4 linked regions of the Saccharomyces cerevisiae S288C genome follow. Each later gene encodes a partner of the first gene's protein in a complex. Each region holds a gene or a part of one and is shown on either strand. Other genes may lie near its edges. The genes, in order: DCC1, POL2, RFC4 and CTF8. A codon is read from its position in the direction of its gene.

The links.
Region 2: the proteins of DCC1 (region 1) and POL2 are in contact, whole or in part, in a crystal structure (PDB 5OKI), measured with the Saccharomyces cerevisiae proteins. Residues at the interface, in NP_009913.2 of Saccharomyces cerevisiae: Met356 (codon at 628), Lys357 (codon at 625), Ser360 (codon at 616), Met363 (codon at 607), Lys364 (codon at 604), Arg367 (codon at 595), Arg368 (codon at 592), Lys369 (codon at 589), Arg370 (codon at 586), Gly372 (codon at 580), Arg380 (codon at 556); in NP_014137.1 of Saccharomyces cerevisiae: Glu125 (codon at 5,672), Gly126 (codon at 5,669), Gly127 (codon at 5,666), Val285 (codon at 5,192), Phe320 (codon at 5,087), Asp334 (codon at 5,045), Phe346 (codon at 5,009), Thr348 (codon at 5,003), Phe350 (codon at 4,997), Arg361 (codon at 4,964), Glu364 (codon at 4,955), His365 (codon at 4,952), Asp368 (codon at 4,943), Val369 (codon at 4,940).
Region 3: DCC1 (region 1) and RFC4 share a complex: the UniProt entries of both Saccharomyces cerevisiae proteins name them as parts of the CTF18-RFC complex.
Region 4: the proteins of DCC1 (region 1) and CTF8 are in contact, whole or in part, in a crystal structure (PDB 5OKC), measured with the Saccharomyces cerevisiae proteins. Residues at the interface, in NP_009913.2 of Saccharomyces cerevisiae: Ser2 (codon at 1,690), Ile3 (codon at 1,687), Asn4 (codon at 1,684), Leu5 (codon at 1,681), His6 (codon at 1,678), Ser7 (codon at 1,675), Ala8 (codon at 1,672), Pro9 (codon at 1,669), Tyr11 (codon at 1,663), Asp12 (codon at 1,660), Ser14 (codon at 1,654), Tyr15 (codon at 1,651), Lys16 (codon at 1,648), Leu17 (codon at 1,645), Ile18 (codon at 1,642), Gln19 (codon at 1,639), Leu20 (codon at 1,636), Leu25 (codon at 1,621), Ile28 (codon at 1,612), Gln29 (codon at 1,609), Asp30 (codon at 1,606), Pro31 (codon at 1,603), Asn34 (codon at 1,594), His35 (codon at 1,591), Leu37 (codon at 1,585), Arg38 (codon at 1,582), Phe39 (codon at 1,579), Lys40 (codon at 1,576), Ser41 (codon at 1,573), Leu42 (codon at 1,570); in NP_012061.3 of Saccharomyces cerevisiae: Pro2 (codon at 957), Ser3 (codon at 954), Val4 (codon at 951), Asp5 (codon at 948), Ile6 (codon at 945), Asp7 (codon at 942), Ala8 (codon at 939), Ser9 (codon at 936), Trp11 (codon at 930), Gln12 (codon at 927), Gln16 (codon at 915), Thr23 (codon at 894), Ile25 (codon at 888), Gly29 (codon at 876), Met30 (codon at 873), Met31 (codon at 870), Met32 (codon at 867), Leu33 (codon at 864), Glu34 (codon at 861), Ile35 (codon at 858), Gln36 (codon at 855), Gly37 (codon at 852), Glu38 (codon at 849), Leu39 (codon at 846), Leu41 (codon at 840), Phe45 (codon at 828), Pro54 (codon at 801), Asn55 (codon at 798), Glu56 (codon at 795), Gly57 (codon at 792).

What each region holds. Positions count from the first base shown.
Region 1 is NC_001135.5:94,071-97,408, forward strand, and holds DCC1 (Dcc1p), read right to left. Parts: upstream 1,694-3,338; coding exon 551-1,693; downstream 1-550. Other genes in the region: NFS1 (cysteine desulfurase), read right to left, coding at 1-200; BUD3 (Bud3p), read left to right, coding at 2,211-3,338. UniProt on the Saccharomyces cerevisiae protein: Component of the RFC-like complex CTF18-RFC which is required for efficient establishment of chromosome cohesion during S-phase and may load or unload POL30/PCNA.
Region 2 is NC_001146.8:146,401-154,255, reverse strand, and holds the start of POL2 (DNA polymerase epsilon catalytic subunit), read right to left. Parts: upstream 6,045-7,855; coding exon 1-6,044. Other genes in the region: protein transporter YIF1, read left to right, coding at 6,416-7,360; PDR17 (phosphatidylinositol transporter), read left to right, coding at 7,641-7,855. UniProt on the Saccharomyces cerevisiae protein: Catalytic component of the DNA polymerase epsilon complex which participates in chromosomal DNA replication.
Region 3 is NC_001147.6:141,084-144,534, forward strand, and holds RFC4 (replication factor C subunit 4), read right to left. Parts: upstream 1,473-3,451; coding exon 501-1,472; downstream 1-500. Other genes in the region: HMI1 (ATP-dependent 3'-5' DNA helicase), read right to left, coding at 1-264; TRM10 (tRNA (guanine(9)-N(1))-methyltransferase), read left to right, coding at 1,732-2,613; YPQ1 (cationic amino acid transporter), read left to right, coding at 3,121-3,451. UniProt on the Saccharomyces cerevisiae protein: Component of ATP-dependent clamp loader (RFC and RFC-like) complexes for DNA clamps, such as the POL30/PCNA homotrimer and the checkpoint clamp DDC1:MEC3:RAD17 complex.
Region 4 is NC_001140.6:485,672-488,363, forward strand, and holds CTF8 (Ctf8p), read right to left. Parts: upstream 961-2,692; coding exon 559-960; downstream 1-558. Other genes in the region: ERG9 (bifunctional farnesyl-diphosphate farnesyltransferase/squalene synthase), read left to right, coding at 1-508; LNP1 (Lnp1p), read left to right, coding at 1,155-1,991; EGD2 (Egd2p), read right to left, coding at 2,041-2,565. UniProt on the Saccharomyces cerevisiae protein: Essential for the fidelity of chromosome transmission. Required for the DNA replication block checkpoint.

The sequences.
Region 1 (3,338 bases):
GCACGGGCACTAGCCTGTGCCTTTGCAGCAGCCTGAATATCGGTATGCGTTTCCAGAGAGAAGTTGTCGTCTAACTTCACGCCTGCTGCAGGAGGGGAATAGAATCTCCTGCTTACCAAACAAGCCCTATATGTGGCCGCTGGAACGTTGTAAACTTGAGATAATCTTGTTATCGATCTTGTAGCAGTTGATTTCAACATCTTCCAGTTGTAGCAGTTCCTTCGTGTATGCGATATATTTTAATGAAAATGATGTATCTGAAATAGAAAATATAACACACTAATGAACTCTGTCGGTCTTTACTCTGAGTGAGTTACTTAGATAGTCATCATATATCCCTGGGCGATGGCCTTACTATTTGTCAGCGACCGTATCTAAAATTGGTAGGTCACTATCAACTATTGCGGGTAATAGGGTGCATAATAGTATTGTAATATATATAAATATATAAAGCTACTATGATAGATATTTGTTGCTATTCACGTCATCCACTATTACTTTAGTGGTTCCGCTATATATTCGCATTGCCCATCGAAGGCAGTTTTGTGTGCTACCTGCTCGTGACCACGGTCTTTTTGCCCAGTCTTTTACGGCGGGCATACTTCATGATGAAACTGTCTATTTTCATACCTCTTGAATTTAGTTCTTCAATTAGAGGCTTGATATCCTCCAAGTCCCACTGTGACTGTAGCCTAAACAGGACTTTAAACCGTTCTTTGGGGTCCATTGGTAGTGTGCTTTTCGCTATATACTGGACAGTCTTATCGGTAGGCTTGAAATGATAGCCTCGCAGCATGTCAATGTCAATGTCACATGGGAAGAAAGGTGGGAAAAGGGACTTCCACTTGATGAGGAACTCATCAATTGGCATGCTTATTCCAGAAACATATTTCCTTAGCGCTTGAATCCCGTACCACTGAGCTATAAACGGTATTCTCAAGCGCCACGTATTGTTTTCAGCCTCTTGCTCTTGAACAGCAAATTTATTCAGCACTGTTTCAATGATTTCTCTTGTGTATGGATTGAACTCGTCCTCAATGTCCTTCCCCACAGCGTGATGTGTATCCTCAACATTCAGATGCTGTAGATCGAGTGATTCTGCCATTGCGCTCATCAGTAGTACATGCAGTGCTTTGAAAAGGAAGTCTTGTGAAAGAATACACAACACACCGTCTTTCACAGATCCACCAATCTTATGCCATTTTGATATACCTTCTAGCGCAGAACATGGTGAGTTCTCAAGTAGTTCTTCCAGGGTCCCGATAACCTTTGTAGATGACCTCTTCATGATTTTGTCGGAGAAATCCAGTTCTCCGTTGTATATTGGTACTGAATTCAAGTTCAATTCGCCATGTGTCTCTCTGGTCTCAAATTCTGATTCAGTCTTGGCGAATCCCACGACGTCCATGTACGGCTTGGACAGTCCAAACAAGAGCGTTTCGTCGAAAGTAATAGGTTGTTCAGGAACAAATTCTCTCATTAGTAGAACTGTGTTTGAATGTTTGCGCTGCTTCAGCACCCAAGTCTTGTCGTGCGAACACAGTACAACTTCAGACTTGTCTTTGTCCAATGACTTAAACCTTAACTGGTGATTTTGAACCGGATCCTGTATTATATCCAGTAACTCTGGTGTCAACTGGATCAGCTTATAAGATGGATCATACTCGGGTGCGGAATGTAGGTTGATGGACATGGTACAGGATTATTAGTGAGCAAATCTCTGGTGGATTTTTACCGTTCATCTCATAGTGCTTTTTTAGTTTATTTTTCACTTTTTTCTGGTTATACTATACGCTGCCTACTGAAGCAATAAGCAAGAAACACAACAGTATAAAGGGACAAAGATAATAAACCGCCTACTACTAAATAATATCGCTGTGGTATGCTACTCCTAGAGATTTCGATCACCATCGTGGTGCTCTTTGTCATACGCATAGAATTGACAAAAAAGAACCCTAAGCTATAAATTAGGTCATGTTGAGCGATTGCCAGTTGCCAAGACCTAGGGTTTTGTTCGAACAATTCTAAAAAGGTAAATAAAAACAATGGTAAACAAAGGCTTTGATCTTCAATGAGGAAGATTTCTCTCACTGCGGATAGTAAAAACAACACTAGTTTGTCTGTACTCGCATTCTACTGCTGCTACCTGCTACTCATTACGTGTTCGGGCTGTTATCTGGTTGCTAAAAGAGTATATTTACACCTCACCAATGGAGAAAGACCTGTCGTCTCTTTACTCTGAAAAGAAAGACAAAGAGAACGATGAAACCTTATTTAACATCAAACTATCCAAATCTGTTGTCGAGACCACACCGCTAAATGGTCATTCATTGTTTGATGATGATAAATCACTTTCAGACTGGACGGATAATGTGTTCACTCAATCAGTATTCTATCACGGGTCAGATGACTTGATATGGGGGAAGTTCTTTGTCTGCGTGTACAAGTCCCCCAACAGCAATAAGTTGAACGCTATAATATTCGACAAATTAGGAACATCATGCTTCGAATCCGTCGATATATCTTCCAACTCGCAATACTATCCGGCCATTGAGAATTTGAGTCCAAGTGATCAGGAAAGCAATGTTAAGAAATGCATTGCTGTCATTCTGTTACAGCGCTATCCATTACTTTCACCATCAGACTTATCACAAATATTGTCCAATAAATCGGAAAATTGCGACTATGACCCCCCTTATGCTGGAGATTTGGCTAGTAGTTGCCAGTTGATAACAGCAGTTCCTCCAGAAGATCTGGGGAAGCGCTTCTTTACATCAGGACTTCTGCAAAATAGATTTGTCAGCTCTACCCTGTTAGATGTTATTTATGAAAACAATGAATCCACCATCGAACTAAATAATAGGTTGGTATTCCATCTGGGTGAACAACTTGAACAACTTTTTAACCCAGTCACAGAATACTCACCGGAACAGACAGAATATGGTTATAAGGCGCCAGAGGACGAATTACCCACAGAATCGGATGATGATCTTGTCAAGGCCATTTGCAACGAGTTATTACAACTACAAACAAATTTTACTTTCAATTTGGTAGAATTTTTGCAAAAATTCCTGATCGCCTTGAGAGTCAGAGTACTCAATGAAGAAATTAATGGGTTATCCACAACCAAATTAAATCGACTCTTCCCACCTACAATAGATGAAGTCACAAGAATCAATTGTATTTTTCTAGACTCGCTAAAGACAGCAATCCCTTACGGTTCCCTCGAAGTACTGAAGGCATGCAGCATTACTATTCCTTATTTCTACAAAGCATATACAAGACACGAGGCGGCCACAAAGAACTTCAGCAAAGATATTAAATTGTTTATTAGGCAT
Region 2 (7,855 bases), on another chromosome or scaffold:
ACTCTTTTCATTAGTGGTTTGGAAAAAAGGTGAGAAAATCCGTTCAACGAGTTTTCAACACTATCTTCCTTATCTTGTTTTTTTACATTAACTATTTGGGTAGGTCTTTGCGTCCCTGAATTCAATTTTAGATAGCTCTGCTTTGTCTTTAGCATACTATCCAATATGATCATCATCCAATCCTCAAATTCGGGCTGATATATTGGTGACAGAAACTTCTTTAGTTGCCATTGCGAAACAGCGGTATAATCCTGATTTTCCTTTTCCTCTATTTCAATACATGCTAATCCACTAAAATTAAACTTATCCATCCATATTAGCAGATCCCAATAACGTTTGATATTTAAGTCCAGATAACTAAACATTGGATTTGTTCTAACTGCCTTCATCATATATTGGCTGTAGGCGTAACAGTTTTCAGGTGAGTACTTGTTTGTCTTTATTAGAATTTGATTCCTGTCTGCATATACAATAGTTGAGCCAAGTGCACTAAATTCATTTACTAATTGAAGTAAGGCTTTTTTTGTTAAGTTATGAACGTGATATCTTAGTAATCCGTCGAATAGTTTCGCATTCGGGTTTTGAACCCAACTTGCCAGGGAATTTACCAACAAATCTGCGGTTGAATTTTCTTTTAGGGCCTCATCCCACCACTCCTTTAACATACCTCTTAAAACATTCAAAGCGTCATTAGAAAAGGCGTCGTGCACGAATTCAGATGGCGAGTTAATAACGGCATCTTTGTCATCTATACCCATATTATTGTTAACTAGATCACTGCCTTCAGCATCATTGATTAATGCTGATGTCAAAATTGTGTTCACTGTTAAATTATCAACACCAACATCGAGAACTACATTGTCATACACACCTGAGTTATTAATTTTGGGAAATTCTGAATCATTCATTATCCATGATGTATTTAAATCAAAATCATTTTGAATGCCTCCATGATCTGGAAGTGGAGCTTTCTCATTCCACCAAAGCACGATGTTCTCTTTTTTTAGTTTTCTTGCATAAAGAACATCAATAATATAATCCATACTATCCAGCCTCAAATTACAGATTGGAATGTTACTATACTGGGATAACTTGATCAAGTGAGAAATCCACGAACCACTGGATAAAACGTGGTTAACAAGTTTCTTCAATAATGTCGGTTGCCAGTTCAATTGGGGTAGAAGAACTTCATTCAAGGAAAGCTTAACAATGGGCATCTGGTTTAGAAGCCGGATTGTGCCTAAGAGCTTAGTGATAAACGGAGATTGTAACAAGAGTAAAAACTGCAGACCTCTTTCTTCTTTTAATTTAGTAGTTTCCTGTGATAGTCTTCTGTACAATTTTGAGATATCTGTAAAATATACAAACTCAAAATTGATATCTTCTTTAATATCAACCAAGTAAGAATATGTTTCTATTTTACCTTTCTTTTTTTCAAACATTTGTTTGTATATTTGTCCTAATGATGAGGCATTTATTTCCTGAGCCTGGTTGGATGGTTTCAAAACTAATATAGTAATAGTATCTCCCCATGACTTGAATAATGAAAAAAATTCATACCCAATTGATGTTGGGAAATGTAGTAAATAGCCAATGTCCATTGAAAATCCACTCAGATACCTTTCATTTTCCGCCATTGAAAGATCCTTCATTTCAAAACCCTGCTGTATTCCCTTGCCTAACGCACCCATTGCTTTTGAGCGGAACGTTACCGAAGCTCCCAAATCCATGATCGCTCTTTGATGAGGAGTGATAGTGCCCTCAAATACACCAAGTACATTTTCATCGTTGAAGATACTAGTGCAGTTTTCCTTTTCTTCCAGAAAGACAGATTCCGGTAGAGTAATTTTGAATAGCTGACCGCCTGCTGGATTAGACGTTTTGGGATTATTTGGTAACGATGCAGAAGATTTTTCAATAAGGCAATTCTTAATCTTTTGTAGCGGCATTGTTTGAGATTTGAATTTCATATAAATAGTTTTTGGTATATGGAAGGTGATGTTCTGGACTTTGCCATTAATTGTTACAAATACTTCCAAAACCCCTGGCTCACCGGAATCCTTGTATTGTAAGACCTCCCAAGTGGAGTTCGCATATGATTCAGCTTGCTTCCTAATCATACTTCCTAGTGCACTTCTTTCACGGGAGCTGTTTGTATTACCAAATAATTGGTCTCGACGCTTTCTATCTCTTGCTTGGATTTTCCATTTAATTTTTTGATAATTTAGCCACCCAACATAGTCCTCGTCCATGGAAGGAATCTCCGAGGGCAATACTAGTGGATCTTCTTCATTTGTAAGCTGATTTCTTTTCCTCTTGGATACGGCTTTCTTTTTAGTAGTTCTTGCAATTTTAATTTTGGCGTTATCTTCTTCTACAGTTGGTTCAAACAAATCCTCGATATCTTTTATCTTGCCCATTGTTGGTACATTCTTTGTCTTCGAAAAAAATTTGGTTAGTGAAGTCTGCTTAAACTTATCCTCCTTTGTAGCGATTTTTCTTTTTAGCCAATCTGGATGTTCAACCCTTGGAACAGGATTGGAAACCCCTTGTAATGCTGCTGGAATAGTAATTATCTTTTGTATAGCAGATCCAAGTCTTTCTCTATAATAACCCCAATCGATTATGGTTCTGATATCCAGATCTTCCAAAGATGGATCTAATGTCCATCGCCTCAGAAAAGACCTTTTGATGGGAATGTCCGCTGAAAATATTGCGACTGGAATGGCTCGTTCAGTAACAGGTGCATTGAAAGGTTTTGAACTAATAATATATTTACATTGTAGACCTTTATCTTTTACCATATCTTCACCCAAAAAATCCCCCAATCTCCTTGCCGTCGTAATAGAAGTAGATTTTTGCCCTTCATATTCCTTTAAAGTTTTTGACATACTTCTATTTTCACAAATCAAACTGACCAAGTCTTCATCTTCTAACATAAGACCATGTGAATCAAGAACATCTAACCAACGGTTACATACGCTTGCTACAGCACTGTAACATCCTTCTAATGTATCACCTTCCAAAAAGACCTTGAAAATATCACTTTGAAAATTTTTTATTAGTTGTAATTCACCACGCCTCTTCAATTCAAAACCTTTCAGTTCAGCAAGTGAGCCGTCTTCATTGAAGACAGCATATCTTTTCTTTATACCTTTTCCTTCTTCCTTGGAACTAGGCAAAATCATGGCCTTATATGGTCCGTCAACTTCGAAAAAAATCGTGTTTTCACTGTGCGTCTCATATATATAGTTCAATGGGTCTTTTAATTCTTGGTATTGGTGATTCGTAAACTTTTGGTGAACTCTGTAATTCAGCATGGAACATGGGTAGGAGAGATAAAGCTTTTTACCATTTTCTAATGTAAAAAAGTAAGTTTCAGGGAAAGATTTTGGTAAGATACACCAAATACCATCAGTATCTAATTCTAATGGTCTTCCTACCCTTTCTACTAAAGCTCTCGCCATTTGAATGATCGTGGCACCTGTTAAACACGTAATCCCCGCCATTTCCATGGAATACCAACGAGAGCCTTTCCTCATAACATACCCATAAAACGAATTCAAAATAACTTTGTGAGCTAATTGTAATGAGTCATAAAGCACAATCATCTTTTTGGCCTCGTCTCTCGCATGCTTATCAGATGGGTCAATTTTGGACAGATTTCCCTTCCAAGTCTTGGCTAAACCTTTGAATTCGTAACGCCTATCACGAAAGGATTTCACGGTATCGACGTAGAATGGATTTTCTCTTTGGCAGACAATGGCTTCTCGTTCGACAATTTCTGATACTTTAACCCTATGATAAACTTTCCTTGAATATTCAGTTAAACGTTTTTTTATGTGGATAACTTGGTCTGCGTAACTTAGTTCATCAAATGTCAAAACTTTCTTTTTAGAAAACTTGTTTTTGTTGGGAAAAGTCTCATTTTGTAATGCACGCTTGATCATGTTATACTCATCCATCTTACTGGGAAAGAATTCTCCTCTCCAAGCCCATTTTAACTTTCTTGCACAGGTTTTTCCGGGTCTATTAAAATCGCAACTAGCACAATCGCGCTCTGCTTTGATACTATCTGGTTGTAGTCTATTTGTAGTCATGATGTTTGGGTACATAGAGGCGACATCTACATGATAGATCAAAGGTAGTTCGTTTCTTATATTGTTTTCCTTCAACTCTAATAATTTCTGCGTTATCTGGTTTTTTATTTCCTCAAAATTCGTTACTTTATCTACACTGGACTTATTTTCAACTTCCACACTAAATTTCAAAGCTTCTGGTAATTCTTGTAATAATTCATCAATGGCAGAAGGATCTATCTTGAATTCATTCTTCAAATCACTCCTAAAAACACCAGCTTCTAATGACTCCACATGTCCACCCACGTAAGTCTCGGATTCTAGAAGATGTCCATCATAGAACCTCTCAATGGGATCTGTATGCTTATTTGGTAGAAGAATATTATGTTGATAAGCTTGAACCATCAACAACATTTCACACAAAGTACCGGTACCCTTTCTCAATGTTTCATCCGGGTTCAAAGGAATAATAGTACAAAGGGAAAAGATAAAAGGATGAACATATTTCATGTAAAGGTAATACGTAGCGACTGCATCGGAAACAGAATATTCGGAAAGGTGCTGTGGCTTTTCAAATGCATACGGCGTCATTAATTCGGGATCCAGTTCAATTGGGTTATAACCTAGCTTAGATTGAGTAACAGCTTTTAAACCCTGGGAACCTTGTGGTAAATAAGAATCACGCTTCACCCAACGGAAACAATCCATGTGAGAGCAGTATGAGGACTTGTACTCACCTTCAGCATCTGGAGCGAAACCAATTTCATCGAACATGTCCAAGCCGTGAATCTTACTTCTGTTATGTATAAAAGGCCAATCGAAAAAGTCACCATTGAAGGTGGATATAACAGTGGGTCGTACATCTCTTATATGTTCAAAAAACCTTTGTAGAAGCGCCACTTCATCGTTTTCGTTAAATATGGTGAAAAAACCAGGATACTCCGGTTTCGGTGTATACTCAAAGTCTTCAATATCCTCAGAGATTATCTCCCTATTTGTTATCAAAAAACCTTCCCCATCGATCATATACGAAATCATCATTATTTGATCTACGGCGGAATCCGGGAATTTTAAAGGCGGCTTCGTGGTTTCTATATCAAATGCCATTACCACAGGGTCGGCAAATGCAATTTTCCTAGTATCTTCAATGAATCCCTGTTGAGTTACCTTATACCATTTACCGACTCTAATGTCCTTGTCTATAGATACTCGGACATGATACGGCACATCATATTCCCTGATATCTTCGATCAGATGTTTGGCGTCAACTTTTTCCGAGCCATTTGCAGCAACGTTATATATATTTCTTTGCACATTATTATTGGCATTATCCTGCAAGATTGGCCTCAGGAGTTTCCTGGCCTCGAATAACTGATTGGAATTTACAAATGATAACTTAATAAGTGTCTTCTGCAGCCCTAAAAGGTGATTGTCCATGGTAAGATCTTCCTTTCTAATGATTTGTAAGCTTTTGAGACAAGATTCCAGATATTTTTTCACTAGTTCCTCCACATCATTTACTCTTGATTCATCGTTACACGCAATAAAGAAGTATGGGTCATAGACAACTGTCGACTTGAAGCTCCCACCCTCTTCATCTAAAAAGTAGAAGTCAACTCCGGAAATACCTTGGTTGGTCGTTACACGTTCTCCGTCATTCGAATTGCCGCCGCCATTACTACCACTGGATAAGGTTTCCTGAGAGACCAGCGTTGCGTGCATGTTCGTCAGCCACCCTACGCGGCCTGGAATCTGATCTATATCCTTCGCATCAAACCTGCCATTGTATTGCGGCGGTACGTATCTTTCAAATCCCATCATCGAATCGATGTCATCGATCTTACTAGCATTTAAGAGCTGTTGCGCGCTAAGCGCATAATTATTTGAGAGTGTGTTGTACTTGTTGCCAGCTGAATATCTTGCAGTGGAAGATCCTCCGTTGTTTTTTTTCTTGCCAAACATCATATACTTGTCCCCTGAGAGTGTTATCTTGATAGAATGTGCTCTTTCATCATCATATGCTCTTTTTGATAGGTCCTCTTCCAGTTAAAATGGTAAAAGATGCAAGAAACTTACGCGTTCTGGTTACCCTACCTGAAAATAAACCATTCTGACAATTCAAATGACAATAAACTTGGGCCTTTGACGAACACTGACAGTGTTACTATTACTTTTTCTCAGTGCTAAAACAGCATATCCGAGACTCTGTATCAAGATCCATATTGCACACCAGAGCTGTTGTTTTATACTACAACTCATCTTTTTGACTTTTCGATTGTAAGACCTCGCTACTGAGTATCAATAGCAGAAAACGAAAACCAAAGGCCCATACCAAGATGTCTTATAATCCGTACGCATATGCAACAAGTGAGCAGAATGGCGTTAACGATCGCTTTTCCCACACTCCACAACAGCAACGACCAATGCAAATTCCGAGGAACACGCCCGTGAATGGCCAAGGTAATGCGAATATGAATGCAAACGTAAATGGCAGTGGCGGTGGTTTTCCATTCCAAGATCCTCGTGGTTCGATGGCATTCCAACTAGGGCAGAGCGCATTTTCTAATTTTATTGGTCAGGATAACTTTAACCAGTTTCAAGAAACGGTCAATAAAGCCACTGCAAACGCTGCCGGCTCTCAACAAATTTCAACGTATTTTCAAGTCAGCACCCGTTATGTCATCAATAAATTGAAACTCATCCTAGTTCCTTTTCTTAACGGAACCAAGAACTGGCAACGAATTATGGACTCTGGCAACTTTTTGCCACCAAGGGATGACGTGAACTCCCCAGACATGTACATGCCTATTATGGGACTAGTTACCTATATTCTCATCTGGAATACGCAGCAAGGTCTGAAGGGTTCATTCAACCCCGAAGACTTGTACTACAAACTGTCTTCTACTCTGGCGTTTGTGTGTTTAGATTTGTTGATTTTGAAGCTTGGCTTGTATCTTTTGATCGATTCTAAGATTCCAAGCTTCAGTTTGGTCGAACTGTTGTGCTATGTCGGCTACAAATTTGTTCCATTGATTCTCGCCCAGCTTTTGACCAACGTGACCATGCCATTTAACCTGAATATTTTGATAAAATTTTACTTATTTATTGCCTTTGGCGTATTCCTACTAAGATCCGTCAAGTTCAATTTACTAAGCCGCTCCGGTGCTGAAGACGATGATATACACGTTTCCATCAGCAAATCGACCGTCAAGAAGTGCAATTACTTCCTATTCGTCTATGGCTTCATTTGGCAAAATGTTCTAATGTGGTTAATGGGTTGATCTTGATTGAAGAGATCAAAGAGAGGATTTAATTTCATGCGCATTATTATTATCTACGGTCAATTTGTTAAATACTTATATACTTTTATTCCTACGTCATAAATTTTCTATTTACTTTTCTTATTTTTCCTTTCACTCAATATGGAGTGGAAAGAGAACAATAGAGGGATTAAAATTCGTGGGAAAAATCACGCTTTTTAGATAGATTTAATTTACATCATTGTTTAAAAAAAAAGACCCTGAAAAATCACACAAAGAAAGCACAAGAAGAAGAACAAAAATGGGTCTTTTTTCAAGAAAACGGGACCATACGCCTGCTGTGCCTAAAGAGAAACTTATTCCATGTGATAAGATATTCTTGGACCCTCCTGCCAAGTATGGTAACGCACCTCTACTGGAACCCATCTCCGAAGATCAAAACGAAAAATATAGAGCTGTCTTACGACATTTTCAAGATGATGATCTGAAATTACCAGAAAATCTCAATGACCTTGA
Region 3 (3,451 bases), on another chromosome or scaffold:
AATCTGATGGACAATTTCCTTATTTGTATGCGAGTTTTCGAAAATGGACAGTAAATTTTCTATTATACTATCAACTGCTTTGTTTGTTAACGAAAATATAAGTATTTCTTCAGGCTTAATATTCTCCACAGTAATTAAATGTAGTACTTTATATAGTAGCGTTAGCGTTTTTCCTGAGCCTGGGCCCGCAATGACTTTTATCGTAGACGCTGGTTCATATGACTTATTTATTACCTTCCATTGAGATGGAGTTAGCTTGTCCATCTGTCTTCAACGAACGACGTATACCTTCTCTATATTTTTTCTACATATTATGACTATGTAACTGCACTGCGAGTTGTAAGTTTTGATCAACAAACAACTTTAAAGCTTAAATTGTGCAAAAATGAAAAAAAAAAAAAAATTCTGACACATCACAAGGGAAGAGACAAGACAAAGAAGTAGAATTTAAAGTAATGCACTAATATGGGAGTTTTTTTTATAGTTTTCGGATATTTAAATCAGGCTTTATTATTTAGTTTATGAATTTTCGCTAACATACTAGCCAGTTGCAAGTACGTTCCAACACCCTCCAGAATTCTCATATGGGTCAAACCGATTTCTTTTATCATTTCCAATCTTACTGATTCTTTCACTTGTGCTAAGTTTTTGGTAACGCGGAAAGATGTTGTGACGATATCAATCGAGGAATAACCCTTTTTCCAAAGATCTGTTCTTAAGATTTGAATTGAATCTTCTAGGTTGGAGGCTAGTAACATTTTCTTCACTATTAGAGGGTGAGGAGAATCAACAATTTTGAAGACATTGTCTGCGTTCACTAAACCGTGTCCTGCTACTGTACTTTGTAGATTGTTTATGGCCTGTCTCATGTCACCCTCCGCTGTAAAAATGATTGCTTCTAACCCATCATTTGTATACTTAACATCCTCTAGCTTTATGATTTGTAAAAGACGTTTTAGAACGTCTTCATCGGATAGTTTAGAATACCTCAAAATCGCACATCTACTTTGCAGCGGCTCAATGATCTTGTTTGATTGATTACAAGCAAATGCAAACCTTGTAGAGTTCGAATATAGCTCCATGGTCCTTCTCAACGCTTGCTGAGCACCAGCAGTCATGGAATCCGCCTCATCAAGAATAACGATTTTATGTTTCCCTGGAGGCAAATGTAGTTTCTTCTGGGCAAAATGTTTTATTTGGTTTCTGACGACATCAATACCTCTGTCATCTGAAGCGTTCAACTCTAAAACACCGTCAGCATAAGAGCGGCCAAGGAGCTCGTGAGCAAGGCAATGTACCGAAGTGGTCTTACCTATACCTGGCATACCTGATATGATCATATGGGGCATGTTACCATCTTTAGCGATTTGCTGAAGTCTATCAATGGTCTCTTTATTACCGACTATATCAGATAAAACTTGGGGACGGTATTTCTCAACCCATGGAAGTTGCAAAGATAAAGTTTTGGACATTATAAGGGACTTTTTATATCTTCTGGGAAGCTCTGCAATGTTATAATAGATCCAATCAGATTTATAAATGCTACTATTTTACAGTATTTAAAATATGTGGTTGGTTTTCCCACCTTTTTGTCAAGAAAAAACGCGTTTAATCTAACAGTGTGATGTGGTAATGAAAAATTTTCATTGTCTTTAAGAGAGATGGTGATGTTTAATATAGCGTAAAGCTTTCAAGGTAAATAATTAAGTGTCAATCTGCAGGCAAAACAACATGTCCAATGATGAGATAAACCAGAACGAGGAAAAGGTGAAAAGAACACCACCTTTACCGCCTGTGCCAGAAGGCATGTCTAAAAAGCAATGGAAAAAAATGTGTAAAAGACAGAGATGGGAGGAGAATAAAGCCAAATACAATGCGGAACGCCGTGTAAAGAAGAAGAGACTTCGCCATGAAAGAAGTGCGAAGATTCAAGAATACATTGACAGGGGAGAAGAGGTCCCGCAGGAATTGATTAGAGAGCCTCGTATCAATGTGAATCAGACTGATTCTGGGATAGAGATCATACTTGACTGTTCTTTTGATGAGTTAATGAACGACAAGGAAATAGTAAGCTTGTCTAACCAGGTCACCAGGGCATACTCCGCGAATAGAAGGGCGAACCATTTTGCAGAAATAAAGGTGGCCCCATTCGACAAAAGACTAAAGCAAAGGTTTGAAACTACTCTGAAAAATACCAATTATGAAAACTGGAACCATTTTAAATTCCTACCAGACGACAAAATCATGTTTGGAGATGAGCATATAAGTAAGGACAAAATAGTGTATTTAACGGCCGATACAGAGGAAAAGCTGGAGAAGCTGGAACCCGGGATGCGATACATTGTTGGCGGCATTGTAGACAAGAATCGTTATAAAGAATTGTGTCTGAAGAAGGCCCAAAAGATGGGCATTCCTACGCGAAGATTGCCCATTGACGAGTACATCAATCTCGAAGGCAGAAGAGTGTTGACGACAACGCACGTCGTGCAACTCATGCTGAAATACTTTGATGACCATAACTGGAAAAATGCCTTTGAAAGCGTTTTACCACCCAGAAAGCTGGATGCGGAAGCAAAATCCGCAAGCTCTTCGCCAGCTCCAAAGGACACATAGGCAGCCATCACTGTAGTATTATTAGTAACTGAATAGCAAAATAGTAATAGTCTCCGTAGCTACAATAGGTGTATATTGATGTCAGAGATACGGGTTAAACATGCGCAACTGGTAGTAGTTCTTCAAAGGGTGTTTATGCTTATCATAGTACTTGGACATTAGCCGCCGAAACTGGCTCCACTCGAAATCTAAATGGCATTCCCTTTTTAATATTAACAACACCAATCTTAGTGTCCGAGAGGTCCAAATCTAATGTAGGGCCGTGGGAGGATACTTCTTATTTCTCTTTGCTTATTTTGCTTTGATGTTGTATGTGTTTTACCTGTAAATTCTCTAATATGGTCATTTTTGCTCTTAATGACTCTTTTATTTTTACCCGGATTGCAATTTTTCACATATCGTCTTTTTATTCACTACGTACTTTAATCGTCTTCGCGATGATATGTACTGCTAACGAAAGAATGCCATACAAAAAAAAAGCTACCACATCGCTCGACGACCTCAATTATGCAACTTGTGCCGCTAGAATTGAATAGATCCACTCTAAGTGGGATATCTGGGTCCATCTCCATCTCCTGCTGGATCATTGTGTTTGTCCCTCAAATTTACGAGAACTTTTACCGGAAGTCGTCTGATGGGCTGTCTTTATTGTTCGTGGTACTTTGGTTGGCCGGCGATGTCTTTAACCTTATGGGTGCCGTTATGCAACATCTTTTGTCTACCATGATCATTCTTGCTGCTTACTATACGGTGGCAGATATCATTTTACTAGGTCAATGTCTATGGTACGATAATGAGGAAAAACCAGCAGTAGACCCTATTCATCTCTCCCCTGCCA
Region 4 (2,692 bases), on another chromosome or scaffold:
TGTTATCGATGTGTTGACTTATTTGGCCGGTATCCACGAGCAATCCACTTTCCAATTTTGTGCCATTCCCCAAGTTATGGCCATTGCAACCTTGGCTTTGGTATTCAACAACCGTGAAGTGCTACATGGCAATGTAAAGATTCGTAAGGGTACTACCTGCTATTTAATTTTGAAATCAAGGACTTTGCGTGGCTGTGTCGAGATTTTTGACTATTACTTACGTGATATCAAATCTAAATTGGCTGTGCAAGATCCAAATTTCTTAAAATTGAACATTCAAATCTCCAAGATCGAACAGTTTATGGAAGAAATGTACCAGGATAAATTACCTCCTAACGTGAAGCCAAATGAAACTCCAATTTTCTTGAAAGTTAAAGAAAGATCCAGATACGATGATGAATTGGTTCCAACCCAACAAGAAGAAGAGTACAAGTTCAATATGGTTTTATCTATCATCTTGTCCGTTCTTCTTGGGTTTTATTATATATACACTTTACACAGAGCGTGAAGTCTGCGCCAAATAACATAAACAAACAACTCCGAACAATAACTAAGTACTTACATAATAGGTAGAGGCCTATCCTTAAAGATAACCTTATATTTCATTACATCAACTAATTCGACCTTATTATCTTTCGAATTGAAATGCATTATACCCATCGGTACGTCTAGCTTTGTCACCTTCCCCAGTAAACGCTGTTTCTTGCCGACAAACAATGTGGCCCTCTCTCCGTCAATCTGTAACGACCCAAATCGTATTAAAGTTTCGCCGTCCTGTTCACTGAACCTTCCCTCATTTGGAGAATCTCTCCTCGCCAGCGACGCAAAGTCCTTAGGCAACTCTAGTTCACCTTGAATCTCCAGCATCATCATCCCAAGCGGTGTTATCACCGTGGTCTGCTTTTCTCTTGACTGTGTCAACTTCTGCCATTGACTAGCATCTATATCTACACTAGGCATTCTTTTCAGCTGTTTATTGGGCTGAATGATAGTGATAATTCTTTTTTCTATCACTCCTTTGGCTATATTAGTGGTTAGCTTACTAAAAAAGATTAAAGGAAAAATGAAATTCAAGATGCTAACGTTGACATGTATATTTTAAGAAAACAAAAATCATACAAAGAGGAGATCGGATATAAAAGAATAACATAAATATGTTTAGTGCATTAGGTAAATGGGTCCGAGGCTCTCGCAATGATAAGGACTTTGTGACGAAGTATACCGCAGATTTATCACAAATAACTTCACAGATCCATCAATTAGATGTCGCGTTAAAGAAAAGCCAATCCATCTTGAGTCAATGGCAATCAAATCTGACCTTTTATGGTATTGCGTTAACGGTATTGGCCCTGAGCTACACATATTGGGAGTACCATGGTTATCGACCATACCTTGTGGTGACTGCGCTACTATGCATAGGCTCGCTAATCTTGTTCAAATGGGCATTAACCAAACTCTATGCATTTTATAACAACAATAGGTTACGCAAGTTGGCAAAACTCCGTGCAATTCATCAAAAGAAACTGGAAAAGTTAAAGGAAGAGACCCACTATAATGCTACAAGCTCAATCATCCAACGGTTTTCTTCCGGTGAAGATCAAAACGACGATGCCATGGTACTTCTAGATGATGAATTAAATGCTAAATACCAAGAATTAAACAATCTAAAGACAGAGCTAGAAAAATTTAAGAAGGAAAGCCATGTAAAGGGCCTAAAGAAGGAAGACAGCGATGCATGGTTCGACAAAATCATCAGCGTACTGGCAGGCGGTAATGAATTGGACTCAACAAGTTCGCTCTCTCCCTTCAAAAAAATCATATGTCCACAGTGTCATTGGAAATCCAATTGCTACAGATTGGCCAGTAAGCCAATCATCTTTATCTGTCCTCACTGTAACCACAAAATAGACGAAGTAAAGGAAAGAGAAGACGCCATTGAAGCAAAACAACCGGCACAGCCTTCGCAGTCGGAGAAGGAAAAAACAAAATGATTTTGCGTTAGAATAACTACGTACCCCTATATAATATATTTTTATATCATTATTTAGACAAGGACATGATAGCGTTGACTAAGTCACCATTGTGAGCTTTCAGGGCTTTGATGGCTTGGTTTTTGGAAACGTTAGTTTGTTGAACGACTAACTCGATATCATCCTTATTCAAGTCACCGGCATCAACTTCACCTTCTTCGTCATCTTCTTCTGCTGCGGCGTTGACACTGCCTTCTGCGGCGGCTTGCATGTCAGCTTGGATGTCTTCTGGGGACTTGGTAGCGACGTCTTCGTTAGATGGCATAATACCGCTAGCTTGAGCTTGTTGTTGAGCAGCGGCTAGCTTTTGGGTAAAGTTGTCAACCTTAGCTTCACCGAAGACAACGTAGTTACCACCGGCAGATCTGAAGACTTCTGGCTTTTCAATAGCATAGATTTGGTTGTCCTTCTTCCTGAAAGTGACTCTGATGATACCTGGGATTTGCTTCAAACCCAATTTGCCAATCAATTCTCTGGCTTTCTTTTCGTTCTTGTTTAAGACGGTAACGTTGGCGTTTTCTGGGATAGCAGACATTATCAATTGAGTATGTGGGTGTGTGGTTGCTTGTAAGGGTTGCTCCCAGAAGGAGACTTTACCTTAGTTCTTGTTTAAAATAATCCTTTTCATTCAACTTTTTGTCATTTTTTTCTTCGGCGATGAA